4 linked regions of the Tamandua tetradactyla genome follow. The protein of the gene in region 3 interacts with the protein of the main gene of each other region in a pairwise test. Links are inferred from orthologs where the notes say so. Each region holds a gene or a part of one and is shown on either strand. Other genes may lie near its edges. The genes, in order: U2AF2, HNRNPF, TLE5 and PARVG.

Region 1 (7,083 bases), on a different chromosome or scaffold from region 3:
TTCAAGAGTCTCAAGGAACAACTCAGGCAGCACCACTTCACGGTCATGCACAGCAGAATGGATACATGGCCCTGTAGCCAGTCAGAGCTCAACATCACATCACGTTTTCTGCTCACCAACCACACAGAAGCACACAGCGGAAAGACCTAGTCTGCACTTCTTGAGGAAGGGTCAGGACTTGGCCGGATAGCATTTGGAAAGCACCTTTCCCCGTGCTTCTCCACCTCTGACCCAATCCCGGAGTAGGCTGAGATCTGCCTAAGTAGAAGCTTGTGCTGGCCATGATTTCACAATAACAAATGTCATCCATTGGGCACTTAGCATATGCCAAGGCACACACCAAACTACCTATGTTAACCCGTTTAATCTCAGCCATCTTTGACCACCTAAGATCTGGTAAAGTCTAAGTTTTCTGAGCCTCCATATCCTCTACAAAAGGAAGGAAATCTCTGCTTCACAGAGCCCTTACAAGGATGCACTTAGAAGAACCATACAAAGAGCGTTAAAAAAGTGTGTGGCACATGGTAAGCACTGAGTTTAACCACAACTATTATTACTACCACTCGTATTAATGTTCTCGAAGTCCCTATGACAGTAGAATGACGATGGTCAGTCAAGTACAAAAGTATTAAAGTAGCACAGCTACTAAACAGCCAAGCACGTATTTGAACCCAGGTGTGTACTTAACTCCACAGCCTGTACTTTTAAGCAGTATGAAATATAAATACCGTGAATACTCAGTAAACGTTATTCCCTTCCCCAGGCACTAGATCCTAACCCAGCCATCACCCATCCAAGTCCAGCCTAGGCTCAAACGAGAATTCCTGAACCCTCATACAGTCCAGTCCTCTGAAGAACTGAAGGAGAAAAGGCTCCAACTAGAGACATGGGCAACTCAAGCCTCAAGCACCAAGAGAACCAAAACCTCAGTCTTCCCTAAGTCTTCAATCTTAAACCAAACTAGGGAGACAGGAAGTACAAGAAGTCACCTACCAACTCCCCCAAAGTCTAATATACTTGAATTTCCTAACCTGACCAGCACCAGCACCAGCACAGCCCCGTACTTTGTTCTAACCGTCACAAGCCTCGGCGCCACCTGAAGGGCACCTTTGTCCCACCCTTCCCAATTCTACCCACCTAGGCCAGGTCACTCTTACCCAGAACCTGTCTCCTTACCTCTGTGCTAAGATACAAGAGGCCGAGGCTGGGTACTCTTAGCGTAGGGGCACAACAGGATTTGGGGCTTCTCTCAAGTGGGGAAAGGATGGAAGATAAACACTCCATGTTGGTACTGCCAGAACTGCCAGAAGTCCCCACGTGTGTAAATGTACTTGCGAGAGGGGTACTTACACGAAGGAGCAGGGGTCAAATAAGCGCCCCACGACCAATGGCGGGAGGAGGGTAAAAACACCCTGACAGGCAAATTTAACCAGAAATCATGCAAAAGGAGTGAGACAGAGCCGCGCGGCCTCCACGCAGCCGGGCGAAGGGCCTAACGCATAGGGCCCACGTGAAGGGGGGGGGGGAAGAGCGCACAGACGCCATTTTGGAAACAAAGGGGGCGTGGAGACTGAGAAGCGGACCCAACCGGAAGCGGAAGTGCTAGGGCAGCGGGAAGAAAAAGAAGAGATTACGGGCCCTAATATCAACTCCTTTACGGGAAAGAGTAGTCGCTTCAAGACACTTCGCTAGCTTGCGCCCCAGTCCCTCGCACTGCCTCCGCCCAGGGCCACGTGGGGCGAGGGAATAGACGCAGCGGCGCGCATGCGTCACGGGTCCGCGCCCGCCGCCCCTCGTCTCGCCGCGCGCGCGGCGGAACGTAGAGAAAGGTCACGTGGGCGAGGCGCGCGCCGCTGAGCGGAGGCGGGGGGGGGGGTTACCGCGCGGCACTCGGAGGAGGTGGGGAAGGAGGGAGAAAATGGCGGGGGCCAGGGAGGGAAGTGGAGAGCCGCCCCGACCGTCGCCCCATGACCCCAACGCCCTCACCTTGCTTATTCTCGTTGAGCTGCCGCTCGAACTCATCGAAGTCCGACATGCTGAGGCGGCCGCGTCGGGGCCTGTGCTGCTCTCGCCTCGCCTTGCTGCCCGCCCGCTTCGGCTACTTCCGCCGCTTGCTTCGGCTACTTCCGGCCACCGCCGGCGCTTCGCTGTCTCCTACCTAATCAAGCACCCGGAACCCCGCCCCGCCCCGCCCCGGCTCCGCCCTTGTCCCCGCCCGCCAACCCGCGAACTGCCCCGCCCCCTAAGCCTCGCTCGGAAATGCGTCGGCTGTTTCCGGACAGCAGAGGAAGGGGTCGGAAAGTGGCGGCTTCGGCTGCCTCCGAAAACCCCCGAAGCGAGGGCTTTGCCGGCTTCCCAGGCTCCCGTAACTTTTGAGATTAGGTCTTCAACGTTCGGGTCTTTCCGTAGGACCTCACGTTCCTCCACTCTCAGCCTCCTCTAAGGGTTCGGCTTCTTGCGACAATTCAAACTGTCCCAATCTTTGGTTCCTTCCGCAGATACCCCCGGTCTGCGCCTGCCCTCTGGAAAGAATCGGCTACTTCCGACAATCCTAACCGTCCCAGACTTCGGCACTTTCCGAAGGTTCCCGGCGCTCGTCTTCGGGCTCCGCCAGCGATTACGCGCAATTCCAAGCTTCGGCTCTTTCCGGAAATTCCACTCGCACCCTCCTCCCTTCTCGGAGAATTTCGGCTCCTTCCGCGGCCGTTTCGGGAAGACCTCACTGGCGATGAACAGCTTCGGCTTTTTCCGTCGGCGCTTCGGCTCCTTCCAGCTTCGGAAACTGATCAGGGAGGGAGGACGGAGGAGAGGTGGGTCAAGGGAAAGGACGCGATAAGGGGCGGAATCCCACTTCTCCACACCTGGCTCTCCGGGTGGGGAGAACAGAAGAAAAGAAGGAACGATCTCGCGGATGGGCCGAAAAGGTTGCGCGAGACAAAAGCAGGCAGCGAGATGAAGGGTGCGCGCGGCCGCTGCGGAGTTGTCAGCGCGGTTTTTTGCGCCTGCGCGGGGCGGAAGGGGCGGGGCGCGAGTTCGGTTTGTGCGCCTGCGTAGAGGTCGGTCGGAGGCGAGATTTTCTCTGCCTGGGTAGGGAGACGGATGCCTAGAACCTTCTGCGCGGGTGCGCGAAAAGGTCCCCAATTCCCAACCGTTAAGCCCGGCCGCTTTCCCCTGGTTGCCCTAGCAACTGCGTAAGCGCGCTCCATCCCGGGTGCGCAGGCGCAGGAGGCAGCGAAGCGCCCACTTCCGGGAGAAGGCTAACCTGGCGCTATCGCCGCCTTGCGGGCGTGCGGAAGCGTCCTCCCAAAGAGTCCCTAGTCCCCGGTGGCCTCTTGGACTAGAGGTCATTGCGTCCCGCCTCCTGCCGCGGCGCCTCTACTTCCAAATGGCACGGAGGCTAGGGTTCACGCCTGTTCTCCGGAGCTCTGCCCCCTCGGAGTTCCTGGGGGCACAGCTGCTCCTTCCCCTCCCGCCTCTGCCTCCGGGGGTCTAATTACAGCCTGTCTTCCCGCATCTCCCCGTTTCCCGCCCGACCGCCCGCTCCCTGGAACCCCCTGAGCCCCCGTCAGCGTTTCCGTGGCAACAGCCACCCCCTCTTAGGAAGAGGCTAGGGCCTGGTTTATTCCAAATTTTGTCGTCTCTCTTTAATTTAAATTCTCTGAATAATTCTCTTTCTCACAGGGAATTAGGGTGGTCCGGAAGATGCGTAGGGAGCTCCCGGCCGGGGAGGGGTCCGGCCAGCCTCTCTCGCGGATGGGGGTGGAGACGGGTACATACAGGCCCTCCAGACGCTAGGAGAGAAGGTGGCACTCCCAGAGCGCGCCTCCCAGTTTTCCCAGGAGGAAAGGTGCCCGGCGAGGGCAGGATGAGTGCAGCGCAAGTGCAAAGACTTTCTTTTTGGAGAGGGACACCAGTGCTTAGGGAAGGGCAGAAACAAGCCCTCTGGGCAGTAAGCTCTTCAGAGTCTGGCTGAGTGAGACCCCAGCCCAGAGAAAGAGAGAAAGGCGGGTGCTAGGAGGGGAAGACCTGTGTACGCGAGCACCTGGGGCGGGAGGGGCTGCAGAGGCGGAGGAGAGAGGTGCGCCTCTCCCGTCGCGGCCCGGGTGCTGGGGAGGCTGGAGGAGGGGACAGGGCTGGAGGGGCTGCGAGAGTAGCCGTGTGGAACCCGGCCAGGCTGAGCGGGGGCATCACCGCTTGAAGCGGTAGGTGATGGGAAGCAGCAGCTTGCTCTTCTTTAGCGCTTGCACCTTCTTGAGCGTCTCGTCGTCCAGGGCCAGGAAGCAGCGGCGGGAGTACTCGAGCAGCCGCTCCTTGGAGGGGTCGAACTCGCCCACCTCGGCCAGCTTCTCGGGCGCCACGATGAGCAGCTCGGCGATGGGCGTGGTCAGCGCCACGGTGTTGCGGTCCACACGGTGGTGTTCGAAGGCCCGCGACATGCTCTTCAGCTTCTGGAAGGTGCCCAGGATCTTCTTGTAGCGGCAGAGGACACCGTCGGCGTCTTTCACTGCGGGGGCGGGGGGCAGAGAGTCAGAGCTGTAGGGGCCGGAGACATAGAGGTACACAGGTGCAGACGGGGTTCCGAGATGCGGTGGAGAAAGGCGGGGGGCGTGAAGGGTGCGTGCAGAAGAAAGGAACGAAGTCAGAGAAGGAGGATCCAGGAGGGGAGAAGCAGGGACGAGGGGCCCCATACAGGAAAGGGCAGGTGAACAAGATGGAAAGCAGGAGGATAAAAAGATGGAAGAATTAGAGGAGAAGGAGACAAGACACCGAAGTGGAACCATGGGGAACTGAAGAAGGAAGGCTCCGGAGTGCGGAGGAAGAGAGCAGAGCAGAGCCTCCCCCCAGCTCTCGGCTCCGTCATGACAAGCCGTCAAAGCTGGCAGGTACCCCAGGACTGATCTCTTCACGGGGGGGACACGGCGGCCTGCCGGGAAGGGCCTCTGCGAAGGTCACTGTGCAGGTGCCCACGGCCCCACCCCAGCCCCACCTACCTCGCTGTCTCTCCCGAGCTTTGGGCTTCCCGAACCGCCTCCGAGTGGCACCTCCCCTCTGCCTCTGCCTCTTCCTCTCGCTGGAGCTGCCTTCCTCAGACCCTGCGCTCAGCGACGAGCCCGCGGACTCGGGCTCGGACGCCTCGCCCTCAGCCCGCCGGGGCCCCGGCTTCCCCCTGCAGTGGTCCTCTGGGAGGACAGGAGGAGGGAGACACGTGAGCTGCGGGAGGGGGAGGGAAGAGAAGGCACGAGGCCTCGCCACCTTTCCCGTGGGAAACTCTGGGTCCCAGGAAGGGAAGAGGCTGGACTTCCCGAAATGAGGGTCTCCTGCAAGGGCCAGCATCATCTCCAAGGCACCCGGGCTGTAGAGGCTCAGCAGGGCCCCTAAAGCTGGCCAGTGCCTCAGTGGACAACTGCAAGAGGCTTGCGAGGGGAAGAGTTCGGGTGTCCGAGGCCTCTGGGTAAGGACTACCTGACAAGGCAGGGCTGTGGCCACAGGTGGTTCCCATAGTAGAGAGGGGGTCTTCTGGGGACCCTAGCAGTCCCTCCAGAAGAGTGGAGCCCCTGGGGCAGGCAAGGCCTTGGCAATCACAGGCCCCTGTGTCTGACTGGCTAGGAAAGGCCACTGCTTTTAAGACAGGGAGCCAGCCGGGGTCCCCAGAGAAAGTCCGACACCCTTGGGCTGCACTAGCTGGGATACCCTCAGCTGTTCCTGAGGACAGTAGGAGCTGGTGACCCAAGGACACCAGAGGACCTGGCCCACGAGAAGACAGGCAGCCAGGGGGCTCAGCCTCAGGGAGGGCCAGCTGCGGGGTGGGCCAGCTCTAGGAGCTCACCCCAGAGCTCCTGGCTATGAAATAGAACCAGGCAACAGAAGGGGGTGTGCTGAGAAGCTGGGCAGGGTCTGGAGGGATAACAGATGCTGACACACACACACACGTCAAGTAAGACCTGAGGCTCCACTAGGGAAGGGTGAGTAGGCCAGGAAGGGATCTAGGGTCTTTAGTAGGAAAGGAGCTTTAATTAGCCAAGGGGAGGGGACAGTCGGGACCATCAAGCTGGGCATGGGAAGACGCTGGAGGTCTGGACTCCAGGTCTTTGCGAAGTGGAAGTGCCCAGGGAACCCCAGCAGAGGAGTGCCTGAGGGCACAGAAGTCAGGGTGGGCAAGATTTGCGGGGGCTGACAGGGATAGGAGACTTGGAACAGTGGAAAGGGCCGCCAGGGCAAACAGGGTTGGAGAGCTTTGGCTACCAGGAGACATGATGCACCCAACCCAGGAGGGGGGCTTCACGCCTCTATCCCTGAGGAGGGTGGGTGGCAGAGGGGTCCGATTCAGTGGAGCTTCCCTGGTCACAGCCCCCTGCCCACCTGCATCCATGCGGGCTGAGGAGATGAACTTGTCCAGCTGGCATCGCAGGAAGTCCCTCTCTTCCTCCAGGTCCTCGATGCGCTTCTGCAGCCACGAGTTCCTCTCCAGGGCCAAGTGCAGCTGGGCCTTGACTCCGTGCATCCGGGCCAGGGTGGGGGACGCCGCCTCCGGAGGCTCTGGGAACACGGGGCGGCGGCATCACACCCCAGGCCTCTCGGCCTGGTGTGCCACCGGCTCGAGGCCCTGCGCGCCCGGCCCTAGCTCACCCTCGAAGTTTCCTCGAGATGGGCTCAGCCTGTAGAAGATCTGCGGGTCTAGGTGGGGCGTCTCGTCGAAGGGGATGGAGATCTCCAAGGCTTCATCGTCCTTCTTCACTGAGAGGAGAAGCCGGGGTCACCCAGGGAAATCTGCGGTCCAGCCCCCAACCGCACTACCCTGGGGGGAAGGGTGGGCCTTGGGACCAAGGGTCGGGAGGGGGCCCCAGTTCCTCACTTGTCCTCCTCCGGCTGTTCCGATCACTCATGGCGCGGCTGGGGGCAGACCCGGGCAGCGGAGCGCCTCAGGGGCACTGCACAGAAACGGCAGCCATGGGTAGAGGGGCGAGGATGGGCTCGCAGGGTCCACCCTGGGGGGGCGGGGGGGGGGCCCGGACTCTCGAGGACTGAAATGGGAACTCCTGGACTCGGGCGCGTGGAGGGAAGAGGGGCTGGAACGCGAAATGT
Region 2 (7,559 bases), on a different chromosome or scaffold from region 3:
TCCTCAACAGCATGCTTTTCACATGCTATTTAAGAGCGTTTCCTAGCCTGAAGCCATGCAAACATTTTCTTAACGAATGTTTTGTTTTTACATTTAGATCTATAATCAAATGGAATTGGTTAGAATTGTTTATTCAATTTTAAGGCTAATTTCAACCATGAACCCAGATGCAAAAATCCTAAACATTAGCAAACCAAATCCTACAACACAAAAAGCCATAATATATCATAATCAACCAGGATTTATTCCAAGAATGCAAGTGCAGCTGATTATCTAAAAATTAACTGCTTATTTCTCAATAAAAATACTTAAGTCGATTGCTGCAATTTGTCACATTTAACAGATTAACGGAGACAAAATGATTTAACTAAATTTTTTCATGTTTATGAGAACTGCATAAAGACACTTAACCTCATAAAAAATCAATGAAAAATTTTAAAAACGAGATAGATTTATCACATTAGCAAAAATACAGAAGTTTCACAACATATCTTAATGGCAAGGTGGCCCTGTCTGGATTCCACCTCTTATCAACTAGTTGTTTATTTGCTATATTGTACAATCAGGGACATCTCAACACTCATATGTGATATCAAGTAGTTATTAGTAAGGTGTGGGAGTGGTATTATGGGTTGTTTTACGAGTCGTTAAAAATAGAAACTGAAATATTTATGACTAAACGACCCCTCTCATTTCCACAGCCCCTCCAGGCACTAACCCAGATCTCCACGGTGCTGCCACATCCTATGATTATTTGCTACCCTTATAAAAATTCGCATTTTTACCTACATATTTTTAAAAGAAAGCTTTGCAACACTATAATTAAGTGAAAAGGAGAGCCGCTTACCAGTTTAAAAGAATAACCAAAAATAAAGTCATTAACAAACCAATCATAACTAAAAAGGAAAGCATAACATGTAAATGATAAAGCTAAACAGTTTACAAAATGCGTACGGGACCATTAAGACCTCAAAGGCGAAGGATAGACTTCCTTCACGCCCGTCTGTAATGCAACAATCTCTCACAATATTAAGAGTAGAAATTCATGGATGCCTTAGATTGGATATTTCTATAGCCTTCCTTTAATTTGGACGCTTTCATGTCCTTAGAACATGCAAACTTGCAACTTAACAAATTCCCCTTCTTAAAGGCCAAAAAAAAAAAAAGTAGAAACTCATTTTACTTTAAAATGAAAATATCTTGGTATGCAGAAATTAAGAATGAAAGCAAACTTCTAATAGGAACTCAGATACAGTTTACTTTTATAAAACTGTCCCAAAAGTAGTCTTACCGAGTTGGCTACGACGCCCCGCGGCCTCCCAACCCTCCAGTACGCAGCCCGCCCGGACACGTGGCCGCCCGGCGGTTGCCTCCCGCCATGGCGGGCTGACGACCCCGGCCGGAAGCGCGTCCTGCACCCTCGTGGTGCCGGGCGAGCACGTTGCTGCGCCAGGCGGCCGCGAGGCACGCTCCGAGGAAGCCCTCCGCCCTGGGCGCCCCCGCGGGGAGGCCACGAGACACGCATCCCCCACCCCACCGCGGACGCACGCGGGCTCCCAGCGCGCCGGGGACCCGGGCCCTTCCGGAGCCCCCAATTTAAGCCGCGGACTTCAAGGAGGAAGAATCCGTCAATTCCCACCCGGACCCTCCGAGGGCGGAAATCTAGGCCAGAACCCCTCAGGAGGGAGGGGGCGACTGCGTGGGGCCGCCCCGGCCGCCATCCGAGGTCGCACTCTCCGCGACTGTAACCCCCAAGCCGCTCTGACCCCAGCCGTCACTCCCTGGGCGGCACTGTCCCAGGATTATAACTCCCGGGTCGCCACCTCCGGGCCGCTATGAACCCGGCGGTCCCTCCCACACTGTTCTGACCCCGGGCCCGGAACTTTTCTAGAGAAGGAACGAGTAAAAACCGACCCAGAACCACCAGCAAGGAAACGGAAAGGAGAGGTAACCAGAGCCCCGGGAGACCGCCCGGCAGCAATGGGGTCACGAGGCACAGCATTACACGAACAAACGATTTCCGTCCCCAGTCCCTCAAACACGGTACCTCTGGAGCAGCGGACACCGCACGACGGGGACGCTCGGGCTAAACTGCCAGGGGAGGCAGACCTCGAGGGAGCAGGGCGAGGGAGGGCCCTGGGGCGCGGGAGGTCGGCGGTCCCTTCTCTGCACACCAGGCCCAGGCACTCAGCTACGCCAGGAGCCCGAGCCCACGACCGAAGGAGCCGGCTGGCGCGACGCTGAGAAGGGCTGAGGCCGGCGCGCTTCCTTCCGGGTGCGCGCCCCGCCCGACCTGAGCGCGGCCTGCAGGCCCGCCTCTTCCCCCGCCCGGCTCCGCAGGCCCCACCCCCGGTCCCCAGGCCCCGCCGGCCCCCAGCTGGCGGCCCTCGCCCTCACGCTCCGCCTCCCACTGGGCCCCAGCCCCGCAGGCCCCACCCTACTCCTCGCAGACCCCGCTCGGCCCCGGGCTTGCGGCCCTCGGCCGCCCCTCACCGCGGGCTCCGAGTCTCCACGCTCCCGCTCTTCACGTCCGCACCGAGAGGAGGCTGGAACGTGCTGGACTTGGCAGTTGTAGCCGAGGCAGTTGAGGCTTGTTTATCGTCACCATGGAAACCCCCCCACCTGGCAGCGCGCCCGGGGCGGGGCCTCTGAGGGGCGGGGCCTTCGGGCGGCGCGCGCGTCCCCAACTCCCGCCCGCCGAGCGCGGCCGGCGCTTCCGGAAAGTCCTCCTCTGCTCGGCGTCCCGGTCCAGCTCGGCCTGCTCGGCGCAGCGTCAACTTACGCCCCTGGGAGCAGCAGCCCCGCCCTGCCACACCCCTGCCCTGCTGCCGAGTGCCCGTGTGACGGCAGGTCGGCGCCCCTTCTCGAGCCTCACCTGCTTCTCCTGTGAGACGCGGCGCAGTCCTACTTCTTCCCAGGAGCCGGAAGGCCGAAGACCACGACGGGGCGGATCCCGGGGCGGGGCCTAGATGGTTGGACCTGGAGGCGGGGCCGCGAGGGCGCTATTGTGACGCAGCGGAGGCCGGGCCCGGGATTGGTCAGCACGGCTTGAGGCGGTGCCTAAGCCGGCAACGAGCGGCAGGACCCGGGGCTCTTGCCCAATGGCATGACGACGATCCTTGGCTCCGCCCTGGCCTAGAGCCCCCACCGCCAGCGACGCGAACCCCCCTGCTCTTCAGCCGCGGGGCCTCTTGGGAGCTGCTTGGTCGCGGCGCCTTCTGGGAGTTGCGCGGGCGCGGGGAGCTGGGCCTAGCGTGGGGGGAAGGGCGCGGCGGGAAGAGACCCCGTGACCCCGCCTCAGCCTTGTGAGCAAAGGCCCGGAATCTCGGCTAAAAGCCAACCGAGTGCTCCCGCGGGCTTGCGAGGAGGTAGTGGGTCGTTTTCGGATGAGAAGGAAATGGAGGAAAGAGACCCTTTAGCCCGAGGTTTTTGGAACGTGTAGTCAGGTTGACGCACGTTGGCCGCTTCCTCGTCACGCGGGCCGAGAGGCGCCAAAGCCTCAGGACGTGACTCAGAAGGGCCTTGCGGGGCTCCAGCGCCGGGTCCCTGAGCGGATGCACGGCGGCCTTTGGCCTCGGTGTCTGTTGTTTCAGGGCTCGTAAGCATTGCCGGGTTTTGTTTACCTCCTCGTAAGGTACCGAGGCGCTTGTGGCAGGTTAGACAGGAGAGTATCAGAGTCCGAACACAAGCCGTGCTCGGAGTCGTCAGTGCATGGGGCGCCCCTTCATGAAGAAAGCGGTTTGTCAAAAGAGGCCGCTTCCAGGGAAGAGGAGAAGTAGGAGCTGTCGGGGGGCGCAGACGTGCAAGGAGAGAATGTAGTAAATTGAGGCAAAATTACAGAAAACAGGTCTTCCAAAAACCAGGTATTCCTAAGAATCCCACACCTTATTTTCCAGAGAAGTCTCTATCTGGAAAGGTGGATGTTTAAACTGTCCAGAAACATCGCTGCGTTCGGCACTGCGAGGCCTCGCCCGGGGAGGTTTGGCCCCGCGCTCCCCGCGGGGTGTGGGCGTCGGCCCTCCCTGCGGTCTGAGGCCACCCTGAGTCTGACCCCGTAGTCTCAGGGCTTCCCGAGGTGGAGGGCCGGGTCCTTGGCCTGTTCACCACTTCCGCCTGGCCCTAGGGAGCCGTCCCAGGTGTTCACTAGTGTGCCTTTTCAGAGCGGAGCGTCGCACAGGTGCCCCCGAGGCCCAGGAGGGCCTTCCTCCTCCTCCGGGGTGGGGGCGGGGCCTTCCTCCTCCGGGGGTGGGGGTGGGGTGGGGGCGGGGCCTTCCTCCTCCGGGGTGGGGTGGGGGCGGGGCCTTCCTCCTCCGGGGGTGGGGGTGGGGTGGGGGCGGGGCCTTCCTCCTCCGGGGGTGGGGGTGGGGGCGGGGCCTTCCTCCTCCTCCTCCGGGGTGGGGGCGGGGCCTTCCTCCTCCCGGGGTGGGGGTGGGGCCTTCCTCCTCCCCGGGGGTGGGGGTGGGGTGGAGGCGGGGCCTTCCGCCTCCGGGGGTGGGGGCGGGGCCTTCCTCCTCCGGGGGTGGGGGGTCAGGCCCTGCGGCAGAGCCTTCCCACCGTGTCCAGGCTGGTCGCGTCCAGTCATCCTGGACCACCTCCGTTGCTGTGGGAATCGAGCAGGCTGCTGACCTGTCTTCACTTCTGGTCCTGGTGGGCTGTGTGCTCAGAGGTGTCTCCCCTAAGCTCTGGGATCTGAAGAGGGACCTGTTTTTGGTTCTGGAGAGTCCCTGCCCAGAGATGGACCTGTAAGACCTTTGCTTTAAGAACAATTCACCACAAATGTGTGCACAGGTATGTGATGACACGGTGAGCCCTACATTGTACACTGTGTTTGGACTGTGTGAAAATTTGTCAATAAAAATATTCTGTAAAAACTCACCACATATGTATAAATTTTTTTGTTTTTGTTTTATTTCTTTTTCTGAATAGATGCAAAAGTTCCAAGAAGTGATCATAATGATGAATATGCAACTATGTGATGAATTTGTGAATTAGTGATTATATATGTAGAACGAAATGATCAAAATAGGAATGTTTGCATTTGTTATGTGTTTTTTGGTATTTAAAAAAAATTAAAAAGAATTAAAAAAAAAAGACTTCACCACAAACGTAGATTATGCCAAGGTATATTCTCTTACAGATTGGTCCTTCTGTCTACATTTATATCATTTTGTTTTTGTAAATAGATCAGTATGTTAAATTTAATACTTTTCAATGTGTTTTATTTTATTTATTTTTTTTGAGTTTTTAAAAATAAGTTCCTTTTGCCAGGACCCGGCATCAAGGGATTGAGAAGGCTTTCTTGAGCAAAAGAAAGGAAGAGAGAAATGAAACTAAAGTGACTGAGAGTTTTCGAACACAGTCAAGAGGTTAGCCTGGAGGTTATTGCATATTGTGTAGATATCCCTTTTTAGTTTATAGTGGAATGAAGTGGCTGGAGGAAATACGTGAAACTGTTGAACTGTGTTCTGGTAGCCTTGATTCTTGAAGACAGTTTATAACGATACAGGTTTTACAATGTGATGTGTGATTGTGAAAATCTTGCTCCTTTTATCCAGGGTGTGGACAGATGAGTAAAAAAATATGGATACAAAATAAATAATAGGGGGGATAAGGGGTCAATAAGAGGGAGGGGTTTGGTATGTATGAGTTTTTTCTTTTTATTTCTTTTTCTGGAGTGATGCAGATGTTCTAAAACTGATCATGGTGGTGAATACACAACTATGTGATGAACTCGTAAGCCATTGATTGTACACCATATATGGACTATGTATGTGAAGATTTCTCAAAAATATATTTTTTAAAAATTAAAAATAAGCTGCTCCTGATTCTGAAGCACTGGCCAAGTCTGGAATCAACTTACCCATAACAAATGGTGCAGAGGTTTGGAGAGTATGGTGTCTTATAGTTTTCAAGCACTTGAAAAATCGCTTTACTCATTAAGCTTTGAGCCCCTTCCCTAGAACAGTGCTAATAGGTAGGGAGGAATCACCAAGGCTCAGAGAAGTCATTTGCTCAAAATCACAGTATCTGTTAAATAGCAATCATGACAATAGCTAACATATTTTGCACCTTCTCTGTAAATGAACTATGTAAATAGTTCATCTCATTTGAGTCTTACACCAACCAAGCGTAGATATTATTATCAGCATTCCTAGTCACTGGAGGAAAACTGAGGTAGAGTCGTTCCAGTCATTTGCCTTAGGTCTTTCAGCTTGTAGGTGGTAGTTCTGGGCATCGAATGAGGCAGTTTGGTTTCAAGGTCTGCTCTTAACTGCTGCATTCTAGATCCGAGGAGAACTAGGTCTTTAAGGGTGGCTCCCAACCCCCTTCTCTGCTTCTCTTTCCCATCCAAGAGGAGAGAGTGTAGGAAGTGAGAAAACAAATTGAACAGTCCAGCCACAGTATAGGCCCTGTCTGTCCAAATGTAGCATTTTCCTTGAGACAAGGTGGTTTATTAGGCAGAGGAGGGAAAAGACCAGAGGTGAACCTAAGACGCTTTGGGGGGAAATGTAACCTGTGGAACTGGCAATTGTAATCCATTTTCAGGGTTTTGCCTCAATTCAGCACTTTTTTCCCAGCTCAGAAGCAGGCAGATACAGCAGTCAGTCTTATCTGGTTAGTTTTCTTGACCCTTACAGAAAAAAGGGACTTCTGAAGGAGCGCATGTGCCCATACAGGGAGTCAGCATGAAGGCGGAGCAGCACATTAACATATCTTAAATAGTGGAAAAGGGGTAATGGCATTTCCTAAGCTTGATGGTTGGTTATTTATGTGAATCACTTTCTTTGGTCGGCAACAGACTGCAGGTAGACTGGGTAGGGGTGGGGGGGTGGAATGCCTGTCTTCCTCTGCCCACTTCCCCAACTGGCCGGGCTGGCTACTGCAGCCCTAACAGGTACATTAGGGAGCCAAGTTCTGGCTCTGTGTCCACGCTGAGGCATAAGTTTTCCCACTAAGAACTACATACAGTGCAGTGCTTCCACCTCTGCTGGGTGAGGAGGCCCAGGACAGTTAGAAAACTTCATTCTGTTCAAGATGTGTTAGTGGGCCCTGGGGTGGGGAGGAGAAAGTAGCTTGCAGGTTCTTATTCCCTCTCTGCTTCTGTCTCTCTTGCAGTAACTTCAAATTTTAAAAAATTATGAAATGCTTAAACACATGGGAAATTAGTAATAATATTGTAACAAATGTAAGATATTGACGTTTTGCCATATTTTATTGTTTTGGAACCAAAAAAAAATTGCAGATGAATCAGTGCTCTTCACTGCTTCAACTCTTTAAAAAGCACTTACTGTAATACAATTATACCACTTTAAAAGTCTTTTTATTTTGGCACCATATATACAGCATAACATTTCCCTTTTTAACCACCTTCAAGTGTACAGTTCAGCGGTGTTAAATTCCTTTACAATGTGCTACCATCACTACCATTCATTACCAAATCTCTTCCGTCACCCCCACAGAAACTCTTCACCTATGAAGCAAGAACCCCCTATTTCCCGCCCCCTGCCCCTGGTCCCCTTTACTCTGTCTTCTGCCTCTATGAATTTGCATATTCTAGT
Region 3 (7,469 bases):
CTGGCTCCCCCAGCAAAGATAAGCTGTGGGTATTTCCCCCACAAGGGCCTCGGAGCAGGAAGGAGAGAGTTAGCAATGATGTCAATCAGCTGAGAAAAGGCCCAGGGGTGGGGTGGGGGGGGAGGGGGTGGCGAGCCTCTTTCCTTTACTCCATTAAATCTGATCCAGCAAGGGGTATGCAGGGTCTACCTTTGTCACCCCTGGTTGTACAAGAGACAGAGAGTGGTTCAAAGCACAGGCTCCCCAGCCACAGGGCCCGGGTTCAAAACTCACCCTGCCAATTCCTTGCAGTGTGACCCTGGACAAATTTTCCTCCCTCACTGAGCCTCCATTTACTCATCTGCAAAGTACCGACCTCCCAAGATGGTTTGCAGGATTAAAGTGAATTAAGACGAGGAGACCTCTTTGAACAGTGCCTGGCACACAGTAAGCGCTCAATTAACGCAGCTTCATCTTCTCACCACCTCGGGACACCGGTATTTTACACCGTGACATGGCCCGCGATGTGAACATGCCCAAGGTTGGAGTTTCTTTGGCCCCCGCTAAAGTTGGTTTTCTCTGAGTTTCTTTTAAAAGTGTGCAATTGTTGCCAGAAAAAAAAAAAAAAACCACAAAAGCAAAACAACTCAGGCAATTTCATCCCCACTCTCAGGACTTCCGGCCATTCTTGATGAACCGGCCAGACAATCTGGTGAAACTGGGCTGGTCCTGCTTGGCAGGTCCTGTATGTGCCCCCGAAAAGGGAAAGCCCCTCATGGGTCACCCAGGCCTAGCAGGAGATGCAAAAGCTTAGAAGGGGGTCCAGCGGGCCTGAGGTGACAGTACTGGGACTATACCTGGGGTACTCAGGGTGAGGTGGGCATGGGCTAGGGTGGCGGGAGAAACTGCCCCCCTTTGGACCCAGAATGTCCAGGTCTACCAGGCAAAGCCCCCACACCCTCCAATGCTTTCAACCCTCTATGCCTCAGTTTCCCTATCTTTATAATGGACAGCATGCAACACAGTGGGGTGGACTAAACAAGAGGGAACATGTTCAGTGCTTAGCATACGGGACAACCCCAAAAGGGTGGATATTTGCACTAAAAAAAATCGGCCTTCCCACTTTTTCCTAGAAAAAATCCAGGATCTTTCAAAGATCACTTTTATGAGTGCATAAACTAAGTCCCAGAGATGGCCCAGGGTCTTACTGGGCTCTGTGACCATGGAACTCCTGATTCCCAGACCAGTCCCCACCCACCAGGGCAGAGAGGTTGAGAATTTGCTTTCTTAGACTGGGTTCAAAATCTCAGCTTCACTACTTCTTCGTGCTTGCTGTGCATCCTGGAGGAATCCCCTAACCTCTCTGGGTTTAATTTTTCCTAAGCCTAATGGGAAGAAAGGAAAAGCTCCATCCACTTAGACCTGACACATGGCAGGCCTTTTAGAAATGTTAGATGAAATTCGGGCCACAGACTCAGCTTTGAGAATCTGCTGGAAACCAGGAACCCTCTCCCCAAATCTTGGCAGAGAGCATTTTAGGGGGACTGGGGCAGGGGGTTCTATCCCGGAACTTCAGTTGTTCAGAGGTCTTTTATCCATTAGGGATGGTGGAATTGGGGCTCTGAAGCCAGACAGCTGCAAGGCCAGGCATATCTTTTAACTTTTTTCGTGCCTTATTTTTCTTATCCGTGAGATGAGGCAGTTTTTAAAAATATACGAATTAATATCAATATCGGTAAGGTACTCAGGACTTGGTAGGAATGGGGTGGCTGTAATGAGAGCCACTATGATTGCATTGTTTGCATAAGTCTATTAACAGAGGCCAAGATCTCGGCTCCAGGCCTCCTTCTTGCCCTCCGTACAAGGGAGGGGAGTAGGATTCAGACACATTTCCACCCCCACCCCCACCCCCGCCCTCGACCCAGAGCCTGGGACCCCTGCCCGCGGCTCACCTGTGGTACTGGGCCTGCAGCAGCTGGAACTCATCTTTGATGCGGTCGCAGGAGTCCGAAGTGGTGAATTTGAGTTGCTGGGGTAGGTGCGAAGAGCCCTGCGGGGAGGGGGCCGCCCGGTTCACCGCCAGGAGGGGGCCCGGCCACCCTCCCTTCCAATTCCGCGCGGGCCGGCCGGGAGGCGGCGATTGCCGCAGCTGCAGCGCGCCCCCTCCGCCCTCCAACCGCCCCCACCCCCGCTCCTGCCCCACTTCCTGGGCCCGTGTTTACAGCCCCCAGCGCGGCCCCTGCCCCCGCTTCCTGCCCCCGCCTCTCCCGGGGGAAGCCGAGGGGTAGGGTGCGCCCGCAGCCGCCTAGTCCCCCGCCACCCCCGATTGTGGGGGTGCGTTTTAAGGCCCGCCCTTGGTGGGGGCAGGGTGCGCCCTCTACAGCTCCTCCAAAGCTCCCCGGGAGTGGAGGGAGGGGGGGGAGCGGGGATGCACATCCGAGCGCCCTAACCGCCCCTGGTGGAGGGGGAGGTAAAGGACGCGTCCTAGAAAGTCCCCTCCTCGAGCTAGAACTGGGGGGGGGTGGGGGGGAGAGGCCTCCCTGCAAAGTCTCCTTACAGGAAGGGCCTCTCCCAGCGCCCGAATCTTCCGGGGCGGGGGTGGGGGGACACCCACTCCAGAGCTCCATTGCCCTTCCCGAGGCGGCGTTCTTCCGGGAGGGGTGCCCCTTGGTTCGCCCTTCCCGCCCCCCCCCACCCCGCCCCCCCACCCCGCAGGCCCCAAAACGATCTCCAGCGCCACGGGTGCCGACGGGGCTCCCGGAGCGCCCGAGGCCAAGGCCTGGCTCGGTGGGGGGTGCGGGGCCCCGGAGCTGATGGTGGGGTGGGGTGGGGGGTGGAGGGCTAGAGCGCCGAAGGGAACCGGGCCCCGGAGCAGGCATGGAGGTGGGGGGAAGGGGGAGCCGGGCCGAGCGGGCCCCGCTTACCGAATGCCTGCTTTGTGGAAACATCATGTCAGTCGCGGCGGGGGGGCGCGCAATGCGCCCCGGCTGTGCGCCCCCGGCTCGGGCGGCTCCGGGCGCCGGGCGGCCGCGCCTTTGTCCCGGCGCCGATCGGCAGCTCCCGGGGCCGCCGCCGCCGCCGCCGCCGCCTCCCGCGCCCGGCCTCGCCCGCTTCCTGCGCCCCCTCCCCGCGCGCCCGGCCCCGGCGCGCCCCGGGCCCCGCTTCCTGCGCGCCGGGCTCCCTCCCGCCCCGCCCCGCACTCGCGGCCTCCGCTCCTATTGTCTAATGGCGGCGACGCCGGCAGCGGCCGCGGCCTCGGCGCTGCGGAGGCTCCGGCTCCACCTGCTGCTGCTGCTGCTGCTGCTGCTGCTGCTGCTGCTGCTTCCCGTGCCCCGTGCGCGCCGCCGAAGGGGGGGGAGCGCGCGCCCGGGGAGGCCTGCGGATCCCCACCCCCGCCTGCCTCTCCCCCCCACCCCACCACTTCCCCCCCACCCCCCCCCAGCCCGCCCTCCCCGGGGCCGGCCCGGCACGGTGACCTTGGACACGGCGCGTCCACCGCCCTGGGCTCCCAGCCAGCCGGGCCGGGGTGAGGGGTTGGGGGTGGGGGGTGGGATGCTCCTCACGCCTGCTGCGCCTCGGTTTCCCCACCTGTCAAAGAAAGGGCCGGACTGCCAGCCTCCTAGCCACGGGCACCACAATGGCGTGACCTGGACTCGATGACCTTGGCCCAGCGGCCAACCTCTGTGGGCCTCAGTTTCTTCGTCGTTGTCAGAGCAGTCGGTGGTAACTGTGGCAGGCGTTTATTGAGCGCCTACTGTGTGCCAAGGCCACGGAGGGGAGGTGACACAGGCGCACAAAGAACAAATACACTGGTCAAATTCTTGGGTGCAGATGGCAATGAGAGGGCACAGTTTAAATAGGGGGAGATCAGAGAGGGACTCGCAAACCTGAAGAAGGAGAGGCTGGGAGCCCATAGGGGTATGGGGATATGCTGGGAGGAGCAGATTCAGAGAACTGTTACAGCCAGTGCAAAGGCCCTGAGGCAGGATGGGGCCTGGCGCTGGGAGAATGGAGGAAGAGACTAGGGTAGGGAGGTTTTATGTTCTGCCCTGGCCTCTTGACATTCTTCATAATTTTTGAACAAAAGCCTTGCAGCTTCCTTTTGCATTCGGATGTGCAAATTATGTAGCTGGTCCCTACAAGGAGGTGATGAGCACGTTTGCAAGACTTTATGGGTTATGGGGAGGAATTATTAGGCTTGTACTCAGGGAAGTGGGCTCCCTGGGAGGGGGAGGGGGTAGCTGTCCCTGGTTTTGAGAGTCTCCTCACTGAAGCTGTTCAGATAATGCACATACATGTTCCTTTTTCTTGTGCTTATTTAAAAAAATATTATCGTGCTAATGGAAATACAACATAACATCTCCTGTTTCAACCGCTTTCAAGTATACAGTTCGGTGGTGTTATCTTCATAATGTGCTGCGTCATCCCCTCAAAAACTTTTCCATGCCTTCCCCATGAACTCCCCATTTCCCACCCCATGGTAGACGGGTATTCTAATTTCTGACTCTAGCAATTTGCATATTCAAATAATTTCCTATCAGTGGGATCATATGATATTTGTCCTTTTGTGCCTGGCTTCTTTCACTCAACGTGACGTCGAGGTTCACGCACTTTATAGCACCTATCAGAGCTGCGCTCCTTTTTAAGGTACAATAATATTCCATTGTGCGCGTGTAAGATAAAAGATATTTTAATGTGGTATTTTTTAAAATAAAAATCCACGCAAGATGAACAAGATGTCAACATCATGCATAAAGACAGAATCTGAAAAGGGCCAGGATTAGGATGAGAGGACCAGGCATATTGGGCAAATGCAAAGCTGTCCTCGGTCCTGACACTAAGCAAAAAAACAGACTTTAGTAAAGTTCCTTGATATTCTTGTCAGTTTCTGGAATCAGCGGAACCCACAGAGTGAACGGAACCCCTGAACCAGACTTGGCTACGGAATTTGTGGGGGGCCTCCCCTAGGGCAAAATGAAAATTACAGGTCCCCTTCTTGAAAAAGTATTTAGAATACCCAGATGGCAGTATTGGGGAGGTAAACCAGACTGGAGGCCCTTCGGGGCCCATGAAATCAGCCTTGCCCCAATTCCTGTCCCCACCCCCTCACCATGGCAACCAGATGCTCTTTCTTCTGGGTGTCCCCTGGATCTGAGCCTCACAGAGGCAACACCCCCATCGTCGGGGGAAGGCAGAACCCAATACAGACACCCCGAGTCCCAGGGGGTTGGGGCTAGGCCACAGAGAAGGACCCCAGGTTTTGCCTTTGAAAGGGGAAGTCATTTTCAGAAGAAGGAGTTTCCAGTGTGTAGATAAGTCAAGAAGTGTGGCCCAAACTATAAGTAATAATAAACCACCCAACTTACATGGTTTTACTATGCTCCAGATGCTTTCTTCTTTTTTATTTAATTAATTAATTTATTTTTTAAACACAACAACATATAAACACAAACATTCTTACCATACGATCATTCCATTCTTGATATATAATCAATAACTCACAATATCGTCACATATTTGCATATTCATCATCATGATGATTTCTTAGAACATTTGCATAATTCAGAAAAAGAAATTAAAAAAAAGAAAAAAATTCATACACACCATACCCCTTACCCCTCCCTTTCATTGATCACTAGCATTTCAATCTTCTAAATTAAATTTATTTCAACAATTTGTTCCCCCTATTATTTATTTTTATTTTTATTCCTTATGTTTTACTCATCTGTTGATAAGGTAGATAAAAGGAGCATTAGACACAAGGTTTTCACAATCACACAGTCACACTGTGAAAGCTATATCATTATACAATCATCTTCAAGAGACATGGCTACTGGAACACAGCTCTACATTTTCAGGCAGTTCCCTCCAGCCTCTCCATTACACCTTAACTAAAAAGGTGATTTCTATATAATGCGTAAGAATAACCTCCAGGATGACCTCTCTCAGCCATTGACACTTTATTTTGTCTCATTTCTCTCTTCCCTCTTTTGGTCAAGGTTTTCACAATCCCTTGATGCTGAGTCCCAGCTCATTCCAGACTTTTTCTTAAGCCCTTTAAGTCTTAGTTATTGCTGTCATGCCCATTTTAGAAACGGGAAAACCAAGGCACAGAGAGGTTAAATAACTTGGCTAAAGTCACACAGCTGGTAGATGGCAAGGCCGGGATTTAAACCCAGGTGCTTGAGCCCTTGGCTACTACAAAATCCTGCCCTTCAGAGGGAGGGAGAGGCAGGAAAACAGGTCAGGGTGGGTGGGAAAACTGGCTGGAGAGGGTCAGGGGCCACACAGGGCCCCGCATCCTGGGCTAAGGAACTGGAATTTTACTCTGAGGGTACTGGAGAGCCATGGGGGGTTTTAGAGCAGGGGCCTCAGCCTCTGCCCTGCTGACATTTGGGGCAGGATCATTCTTAGCTGGGGTGGGGAGCGTCCTGGGCCTTTTAGGGTGTTGAGCAAGCCTCCCTGGCGTCCATCTGCCAGATGCCGGGGGCATCCCCATCCCCAGTCCTGACCACCAAAAATATCTCCAGATCTCGTTAAGTGTCCCCTGGGGGAGATAATATCACCCCAGTTGAGAACCACTGAGTTACAGCAGCTGGGAGACTTGACCCAGGCTGGGTGTAGAAGGTTCCGACTTGATCCAGACTAGGTGTAGAAGGTTCCAGCTGGCGGCCTGAACAGAGGAAGGGAAGGCAGGAGGCCAGGAGACCAAGGCTGGAAAAAAGACAGGCCTGGGCTGAGCCCAGAATAAGGAGGAATTTTGGGGACCACAAAAAAATCCACATGGGCCTGGAGGGAAAGAGAAAGGGTAAAAAGCTGAAACCTTGGAGGGAGTCATTTTTTTTTTTTTAATTGTGGAACCGCCTATAATACGTGAAATGTGCCACTGGAACCGTTGTTAAGTGTCCAATTCAGTGGCATCAGTTTCTTTTACAGTGGGGTGCTGCCACCACCACCTTCCTTGAGGAAAATGTTGTCATCACTCAAAGCCGAAGCTCTTTAAGGGGGAAATAGATTCGATTGTGTGATTTGGGGGCTTTGGGAGAGGACAGTGCCCTAGGTGGCAGGCCTGCTTCCCCACCCCCACATGTCCACCTCTGGGGCTCTTAGCATCAGGTCCAGGGCCAAGGAGGGGGTGGGAGGGGGTGGGCATGGCTTCTGTCTGCTGTCTCCCACCCTCTGGGACCATCTTTCCCGCTGTGATGGATGGAGGGAGCTATGTGGTCATCAGTCAGAGGTGGGAGCAAACAGGTGGCATGAGGCCCAGGAAGGACCTGGTGGGGGCCTGGACCTCAGCTGTCGGCTTTGGGTTCAAGTCCCCCCAACTCTGACCCCTGTCTGCTGCTACCTGGCCAGGTGACCCCAGGCAGTATGAGTTTACCACCCGGCGCATTCCCCTCATCCTCAGCCCCATCGTGGAGCTATTATTCATTGAATCCCTTGGTAAGCATTTATTGAGCACCTACTGTATGCCAGGCATGGGTCTAAGT
Region 4 (7,073 bases), on a different chromosome or scaffold from region 3:
TTATGTGTCTCTAAATCAACTATAAAATACAGAAAAGAACATTGTTCAAATAACTAAGCCTAGCACTTTAACTCAGCAACCTTCCTTGCAATGCTTTCCAATCTTAAACCACGTATAAGCAGGCGGGAACCCAGCCCATCGTGGACTTTGCCCTGCTTCTCCACTCACAGAGGGAGCTTTCACCCACCGCTCCCGGGAGCCCCACTTGGCACTGGGGTTCTGAGCCCACAAAGCCGGTTGAAAAGGGCTACATTCAGAGGACATGGATAATTTTGCATTCTGCTATTTTCACTTAAAATTATTTTACACTTTTTCTTCATCGACATATTGCTTGAATGGTTGCTTAAAATTCTAGTGAGTTCATTTCAACACCCTCCTCCCCACTGGGCCATTTGCATTGCTTCTGATCTGGTTGTGCAGTTGCATGTTTGTTTCTAGATTATGACAACATGATCAACAGCTTTGGGTTCTTGACCCTTTACTTGTTCTGAATCATCTCTCAGGAGAGCAATTCCAACGGCAGTGACCACAAACTCCCTGAACGAGCTCGTAAAACAGAAATTCGCTGAAAGAGCAGCCCCCATTCATTGAATTGCTCCGACCCTATGCCCACTCCACTTTTAAAGAGACCCTCACTTGCAAAGGGAGGAGACTGATGGACCCACCACCGCTGCAAGATGCCAGCTGTCTCGGGAAGTCAATACCACACGGTAGTGGTGGGACCTGAATCCTGGAGCCACACTCCTTGGATATTACTCTCAGTGGCTCAGTTTCCTCATCTGTAAAAGGATGGTGATATCAACACCCCTTGTCACCCCCATGATCTGCTGCATACAAGTAGGCATGCTGAACGATTCAGCTATTCTCAGCAGCAGCTCCAGCACCACCCCTAAGCCGGGGATGTGAGCTTAGGAGAGACGTGGAGATAACCACGGAAGGTTCTGGAGTCAGGGAAGCTGGCGAAGTATGAAGCAAGAGGAGTAGGCAGGGGGTGAACAGGTGTGTGTGTTCAGCAGACTACTGGGAAGGCAGTTATTCCAAGAGGTCTGTTTGGCTATTGGGACGCTGACCCTGCCCCGTGGCCCAGCCTGGGCACCGCACCTTGTAGGAGTTCCTTCTCTGCTGGCGGAGCCACACCTTTAGGGAGCTGCAGCAGGTGGTAGAGGGGGTCTGGTTCCATCTCCTCCTTGCCTGCCCTGGAGGATGCAGGGGACAGAAGGTATCATTGTCCCAGAAACCCCAACTCACACTGTTTGCTTATTTGCTCCAAATCTAGAGACACACAGAGAGGGGTGATAAGTCACTGGGCTCACCCAGGCAAGGGACCAGGGCTGCCTGGTGAGAAGGAGGCACTGAGCCGAACCGTGTAGCATGACCCGGTAGAGAAAGGCAGGCAGGCTGGGGCAGGGGGCAGCCTGAGCAAAGGCTTAGCAGGGAAATGCACTACCCTCCCCCACCACCCAGTGGGTACAAAGCTGCCCTTGTCCAGCATTCTCCTGCAGCAACTGCACTGCCCAGAAACTCACCCTCCTATACCCATCCCAGGCAGTCAGCCCACTCCTCAGAGCCCAGGATTCAGAAAACCCTTGGGCTGAGCTCAAGGGAGAAATCTGGGGCCAGCTTATGCAGGGCTGGCTGAGATGAAAACACTGATCCACGGCATCGGCCAGATTGTGAGCTCCTGGGAGCAGGGACTGGGAAGGGTCACTCTGGCCCCTGAGCCCAGACTGGCCCGTGCAGGGGCCATTGCAGCCTCTGGTGAGTAGTCATCACCCACCACCCATGCAGGCTGGGATCTCAGAGGGAGGCCAGGCCCTGGCCAGGTCCCCCAGTTCTGGGTCTCCTGCAGGAGGTTCTCAATCCTTGTCTCTAAAGTGGGGGGTAGAATTCCCAGTCTTTTGGAACAGATGGGAACAGCCGACACTTACAGAGTGGGCCCAGTTCCTCTCTGTAGCCTCACCGTGGGAGTGCTGAGATTGCCCCATGCCGGGGAGCGCAGCAGATGCAGAAACCAGCCCCAGACCTCTTTCCTGTCCCCTGCCACTTCCTCTCCTGGGAGTGGTTTTGCCTGCTCTGCAGAAGGCTCTGCTCCCCCTCCTTCTCTTCAGCTGCTGGGTCTTTCCCAGCATGACAAGCCCACACAGGCCTTTAGAGTTGGGGGAGGGAGGTTCACATAGCAGAAGCTGGGGGTCAAAGCCTCCTTCCAGCAGTTGCAGCCCCCTGGAGGCCTGGGGACCACCTATGGCTCCATCTTGCTCTGAAGGGAAGAGTGTGGAGAACATGGCTGCTGAGGCTGAGCCCTGCCCCCTCAATCCTCAAGCCTCCTGTTGGACACCAGGGTTCTGGCTCGATGGACATGACCAGAGAAGTAGCAGCGCTGTGGCCTGGAGCTTAGGGGTTTGGGTTCCAGGCCAGCTGGAACCTGGCTGTGTGTCTTTGCATAACCCCCCTCCCCTCTCTGGTCCTGACACAGAGTAGAAACAGAGCTGGGGACTGCCCAGCAACCACAGTTCCGTGCAATCCCTTCCCTGCTCCTGGCCCCAGTGTCTCTATCTGAAGACCGGGGAGACCTTTCTTCCCACGAGTTGCAGAAAACTCAGAGACAATATCGTGGAGTGGGACAATGGTCACCTGGCTGTGCCGTGGGGTAGGACTGTGTCCTTCTACCTGTCGGGTTGGGTCCCTCGTCCGTCAGTGGGGAGGTGGGGAGGAGTGAGCAGCCTCTCTGCTCGGGGTGGTGGGAGGGAACCAGGGGTTCGGGGTGCTGCTCTGCTCTCTGGCCTGTTTCCACCTGGAGTCTTGGACCCTCCCCCAGGGAGCACTGATACCCAGCATCACGGCAGGTGGGGGATGCCCACGGGGGGGCCCAGATGCCAGGACTCACTTGGCTGCTTCCTCCCCCAGAGGAAATGACTTGGCTGCCGTAGCTCAGATGGTGGTCCCAGGGTCTGGGTTTCCAAATGAAAGCAGGTTCCGGGTTCCCAGGTACCCCGGGGGCTGCAGGAGGCGGGCAGGCCAGGGGGCGGGGCGGCCGCTCACTTCCTCCTGGGGCCTGTGGGTGGCTTTGCAGGGCTGGCCCTGGGGAGCTTCCTCCTCCGTGTGGCACAACACTGGGGGAGAGGATGCTTCGACAGGGATGCCACCACAGACTTCCAGAAAATTCTGCGCCACCTTACATCCTGGCCAGTGCATGCTTCTCCACCACCCAGCCCAGGCCCCTATCCCTCTCCCTTGGATCATGCGGAAACCTCCACACAGGACCCCCTGCCACCAGCTCTGCTTACCACTGCATCTCCCACTTGGAGATTTTCTCTACCAATAGCCAAAGCACTTAAAATAAAGCCCCATTGGCCCATTCTAGCCCATAAGCCCCAATTTGGCCCACTGGCTTCATTTCCACCCTCCCCTCCTAACTTCTCCCACCCTCACACCCTCCCAGCCCTGCCCATCTCTTTTCTGTTCCTGGAAAGTACCAGTTCCCTTCCTGCTCCCATTGTCTAGATGCCCCTGCCCCAGCTCTTAGCATGGCTGGATGCACGTCCTTAGCATCAGTTTAAATGCCTCCTCCTTCAGGAAGCCCTCCCAAACTGCCTTATCTAAAGTTGGTCCTCCCTGTGATCCTTTACCACAGTTCCTGAAGGTTCTCTTCATGGCACTTACACCTGTGCTGTTTATGTTAGTTTAGCTAGTTCAGTTAGCTGACATATAGTACCCATCTTCCCCATCAGAACATATGCTCCATGAAGGCAGGGCCCACATCTCACTTGCTCACTGTTGTGTCCCAGCGCCTAGAGGAATCCCCACACAAAGTGACAGCTGTTATTGCCTAGGGGATCAGGAGGGCTTTTCGGAGTGGGCCTTGATGACCACATAGGAGTTTGCCAGGTGAAGAAGAGTGAGCACGTTCGAGGTAGACAGAAGAGCCTGGGCAAAGTCCTGGAGGAGCTTAAGGAAAGACAGATACCAGGAGAGTAAGATAGACAGAGAACACTTCAGACCTGAGCTGGTCACGAGGGCACAAATCTCCATGAATCAGACCGAAATTATGAGTTCCATACCAACAGGTGATAGTGCTGAGTGACCAGGAAGCACTCTGCTGACAGATCGGTCAGAAGAAGGGGCCAGATTAGGTAGCAGGAGGGAACAAGGTTGTGTGAGAGCAAGGTGGGGTTGTGTATGAGAAGTTATTAAAAATGTCAAAAATCACTACTGGTGTTATTGCCAATATTTATCAAGTAGCTTGCTATGAAACAAATTATTTTAAGTGCTTTCATTTTGGTGGTGGTGGTGTGTGGTCCAGGAATCGAACCTGGATCTCCCACATGGAAGGCAAGCATTCTACCACTGAACCACCCGTGCGCCCTTTCAGTACTTTAATTTTAAGCTGGACCTTTAAACTGGAAGGTCAGTACTGTTACCATTCCCACATGACAGACAAAGAAACTGAGACACCTGATTTTGTCTCCACCATCAGATGCACCTGTGTGACTCAGGGATTTGTGCCAGGGTAGGGAGAGAAGCAGATGTGCTTGGGACATCCGTTTTGCTGGTATGGGCAGAGAGGGTGCAGATGGCTTTGGAGCCACTGGTTCCAGGGACAGCTTGGAAAGCCTGGGTGCATCAATCAGGGTGCTGGAAACAAGAGGCGGCTCACTCAAAGCTGTAATTGAAGAGTGCTCATATAGGGATTGTTTGGGGAGGGTGAAAGGAACCCAGAAGTGATGGCACTGCACCCCAAAACTCACAACACAGGGGAGCTGTTACAACTCAGAGCCGTGAGAAGCAAAGGAAGGAGTGAATACCAAAACCCCGAAAGGAAATTAGTGAAGGTCTAAGAAGGGGGCCACCAGATGGGAGCTGGGTCCTCTGATAGGGGGGCATGGCTAACCCGTGGTGACCTGGTGGGGCAGAGGCAGAGACAAGGAATTCCCCGGCCTCACTCTCCTCCCACACTCCTCTCTCCGGCCAGGGACTCTGGCTAGCCAAATCCAGCTGGAAGCCAGAAGCAAGAAAGCCCATTGATGCAGTCCACAGAGGTCAGGACAGGAAACGGTGGATCTGAGGAGGCAAACGGAAGATATTTGGCCCAGAAGTTATAATTCTGGAGCTGGTGGTCAGTGCAGCAGCTTCTTGGCCCCTTCTAGGGCCAGCTCTGCCAGATCATTCGACGACCTGTTCCTGCAGCCTCAGCCCCAGCCCCTCCTGCAGCCCCCAATGGCACCGTGACCATCTCATTTCCCACATTAAGGTCCTTTCTGTTTAAACAACTAAAACAGTTCCAGTTATCTGCAACCAAATCCCCACCAATGTAGGATTTGTTACCAGAAATACTTGCAGGCAGTATATCCTTAAGGATGGGAATCTGGGATGGGTTACTTGTTCTGGTTGCTTTAAAAACAGTGAGGATCCAGTAATTACCATTAGGTAGCAAAATTATAGTAGATCATACAGTGTTCTATATACAGCGGCAAAACAATTACCTGTAATCACCCAGAATTAAACACCTATTAAAGCCCCAGATTTGGCAGACTGACTTGTGGCTTCTCTATAGAGTATGATAAGCCTGCGTTATTCAAGGATTGTGGGGTCAGCTGGCACCTTCTCATCACACCAGAAATAAAAAAAAAAAAAAAAGAAAGGAATAAGACATCCTCAGGGTTTTAAACTCCTGGTTCAAGGTATGTTCAGAGTAAGAGGGCATTCCTAAGATAGCACTGCCTCCAAAGAATCTCCTTTCTCTTGTAGCTGCAGGACTGATCAAGCTGGAATCAGATACAGCATGGGAGCCCGGTGGGAATTCCAACACAGCCTCCCCATGTTTCCGAAGTGAAAGGGAGGGACCCCAAGAACTGAAATAGTCTGATTCTTTCCCAAACCCCAGAAAGAATCCTTGCAGTCACAGCAACCTGACTTCCTGTGTCTGATGGCAAAGACATTTCCTTGCTAAGAAATGCCGTAGTGACCTCACTGTCACTACCACTGTACCCCACACTGTCTCCATATCAATAATTGCAGTCAATTCTAGTCCGTCCTGGGAGAATAAGTACAAAGTCAAACCTGAGAGGAGGGGGCTTATGTACTTTTAAAAATTGCACAACTATGCTCATTTATCAGCAAATAAATGTATGGGGGATGTATAATAATGGTCCTGGGCCAGGAAAGAAGTGATATATTTTTAGATCCAGATGCAGTTATTAATAGAAATGCACATACTGGAGAGTCTAGATTCAGGGACACTAGCAAGAGTAGCTAGACAGGATTCTAAATTGCTTTCTAGAATCATTTGCTGAACATGGAATCAGCAGTGGCCTGCATTGAATGAAAATAGGATGGCAGCCATACCTTGGTATAATGTAGAAGGACATTTGAGTGTCTCTGTCATGTTAACCATGTCCCATGAGAAAAGCCAAAGCACAGTCCCTTTCCAAGTCTTGGAGGATTCACTGAAAAGCACTGGAGCTCAGGAATGACGTTGGAAGATGCTGACGCTGAAAAGGGCTGCCTGATGGCAACGGCATTGATGTCATCCAGAGTGGTAAAGGTCAAGGGCAGTACCCATTCACCTGAAGCAAGGTGGGTGTATCAGTTCGTGGTTGCTGCATAACAAGTCATCCCAAAACTTAGTAGCATAAAACGACCATTGTTTTATTTAGCCTATGATTCTGTGGGTCAGGTTGGGCAAGTCTTCTGATATGGAACAACTTGGGTGATCTCTACTGGGCTCTCTCATGCATCTACGGTCAGCTGCTAACCAGTTATCTAGAATGGACTCCCTCATGTGTCCAGCAACTGCCCATCAGGGTCTGGCTGATTGTTGACTGTGCGGCCTCACATTTCCAATAGGCTAGCTTGGGCTCATTTACACAATGGTTCCAGCACAATAAGGGATGGCAAGCCCTAGTACACAAGCACTTTGCAAATCTCTGCTTGTTTCACATTTGCTATTGTTCCCTTGGCCAAAGAAAATCACATGGCCAGTCTAAGAGTTGGTATGGGAAAGAATGACCTAATAGCTACAGGAAGAGGATTATGGCAGGCAGTCTACCACAGCAAGCATGGAAACCAGAGAAATA

The links.
Region 1: the proteins of TLE5 (region 3) and U2AF2 interact in binary tests that used the Homo sapiens proteins (3 or more experiments, as listed by UniProt). The two-hybrid records come from large-scale screens. The link is inferred for Tamandua tetradactyla from reciprocal best matches to the Homo sapiens genes TLE5 and U2AF2.
Region 2: the proteins of TLE5 (region 3) and HNRNPF interact in binary tests that used the Homo sapiens proteins (3 or more experiments, as listed by UniProt). The two-hybrid records come from large-scale screens. The link is inferred for Tamandua tetradactyla from reciprocal best matches to the Homo sapiens genes TLE5 and HNRNPF.
Region 4: the proteins of TLE5 (region 3) and PARVG interact in binary tests that used the Homo sapiens proteins (3 or more experiments, as listed by UniProt). The two-hybrid records come from large-scale screens. The link is inferred for Tamandua tetradactyla from reciprocal best matches to the Homo sapiens genes TLE5 and PARVG.

The regions. Positions count from the first base shown.
Region 1 is NC_135342.1:4,094,988-4,102,070, forward strand, and holds the start of U2AF2 (splicing factor U2AF 65 kDa subunit), read right to left. Parts: upstream 3,012-7,083; 5' UTR 2,036-3,011; coding exon 1,987-2,035; intron 1-1,986. Other genes in the region: CCDC106 (coiled-coil domain-containing protein 106), read right to left, coding at 4,188-4,504, 4,992-5,180, 6,361-6,537, 6,628-6,735, 6,854-6,884. UniProt on the Homo sapiens protein: Plays a role in pre-mRNA splicing and 3'-end processing. By recruiting PRPF19 and the PRP19C/Prp19 complex/NTC/Nineteen complex to the RNA polymerase II C-terminal domain (CTD), and thereby pre-mRNA, may couple transcription to splicing.
Region 2 is NC_135339.1:2,957,327-2,964,885, forward strand, and holds the start of HNRNPF (heterogeneous nuclear ribonucleoprotein F), read right to left. Parts: upstream 3,009-7,559; 5' UTR 2,876-3,008; intron 2,627-2,875; exon of another isoform or gene 2,494-2,626; intron 2,264-2,493; exon of another isoform or gene 2,048-2,263; intron 1-2,047.
Region 3 is NC_135337.1:79,362,980-79,370,448, reverse strand, and holds the start of TLE5 (TLE family member 5), read right to left. Parts: upstream 3,001-7,469; 5' UTR 2,931-3,000; coding exon 2,904-2,930; intron 2,030-2,903; coding exon 1,932-2,029; intron 1-1,931. UniProt on the Homo sapiens protein: Transcriptional corepressor. Acts as a dominant repressor towards other family members. Inhibits NF-kappa-B-regulated gene expression. May be required for the initiation and maintenance of the differentiated state.
Region 4 is NC_135333.1:38,397,570-38,404,642, reverse strand, and holds the start of PARVG (gamma-parvin), read right to left. Parts: upstream 3,015-7,073; 5' UTR 2,885-3,014; intron 2,176-2,884; exon of another isoform or gene 1,929-2,175; intron 1,197-1,928; 5' UTR 1,181-1,196; coding exon 1,102-1,180; intron 1-1,101. UniProt on the Homo sapiens protein: Plays a role with ILK in promoting the cell adhesion and spreading of leukocytes.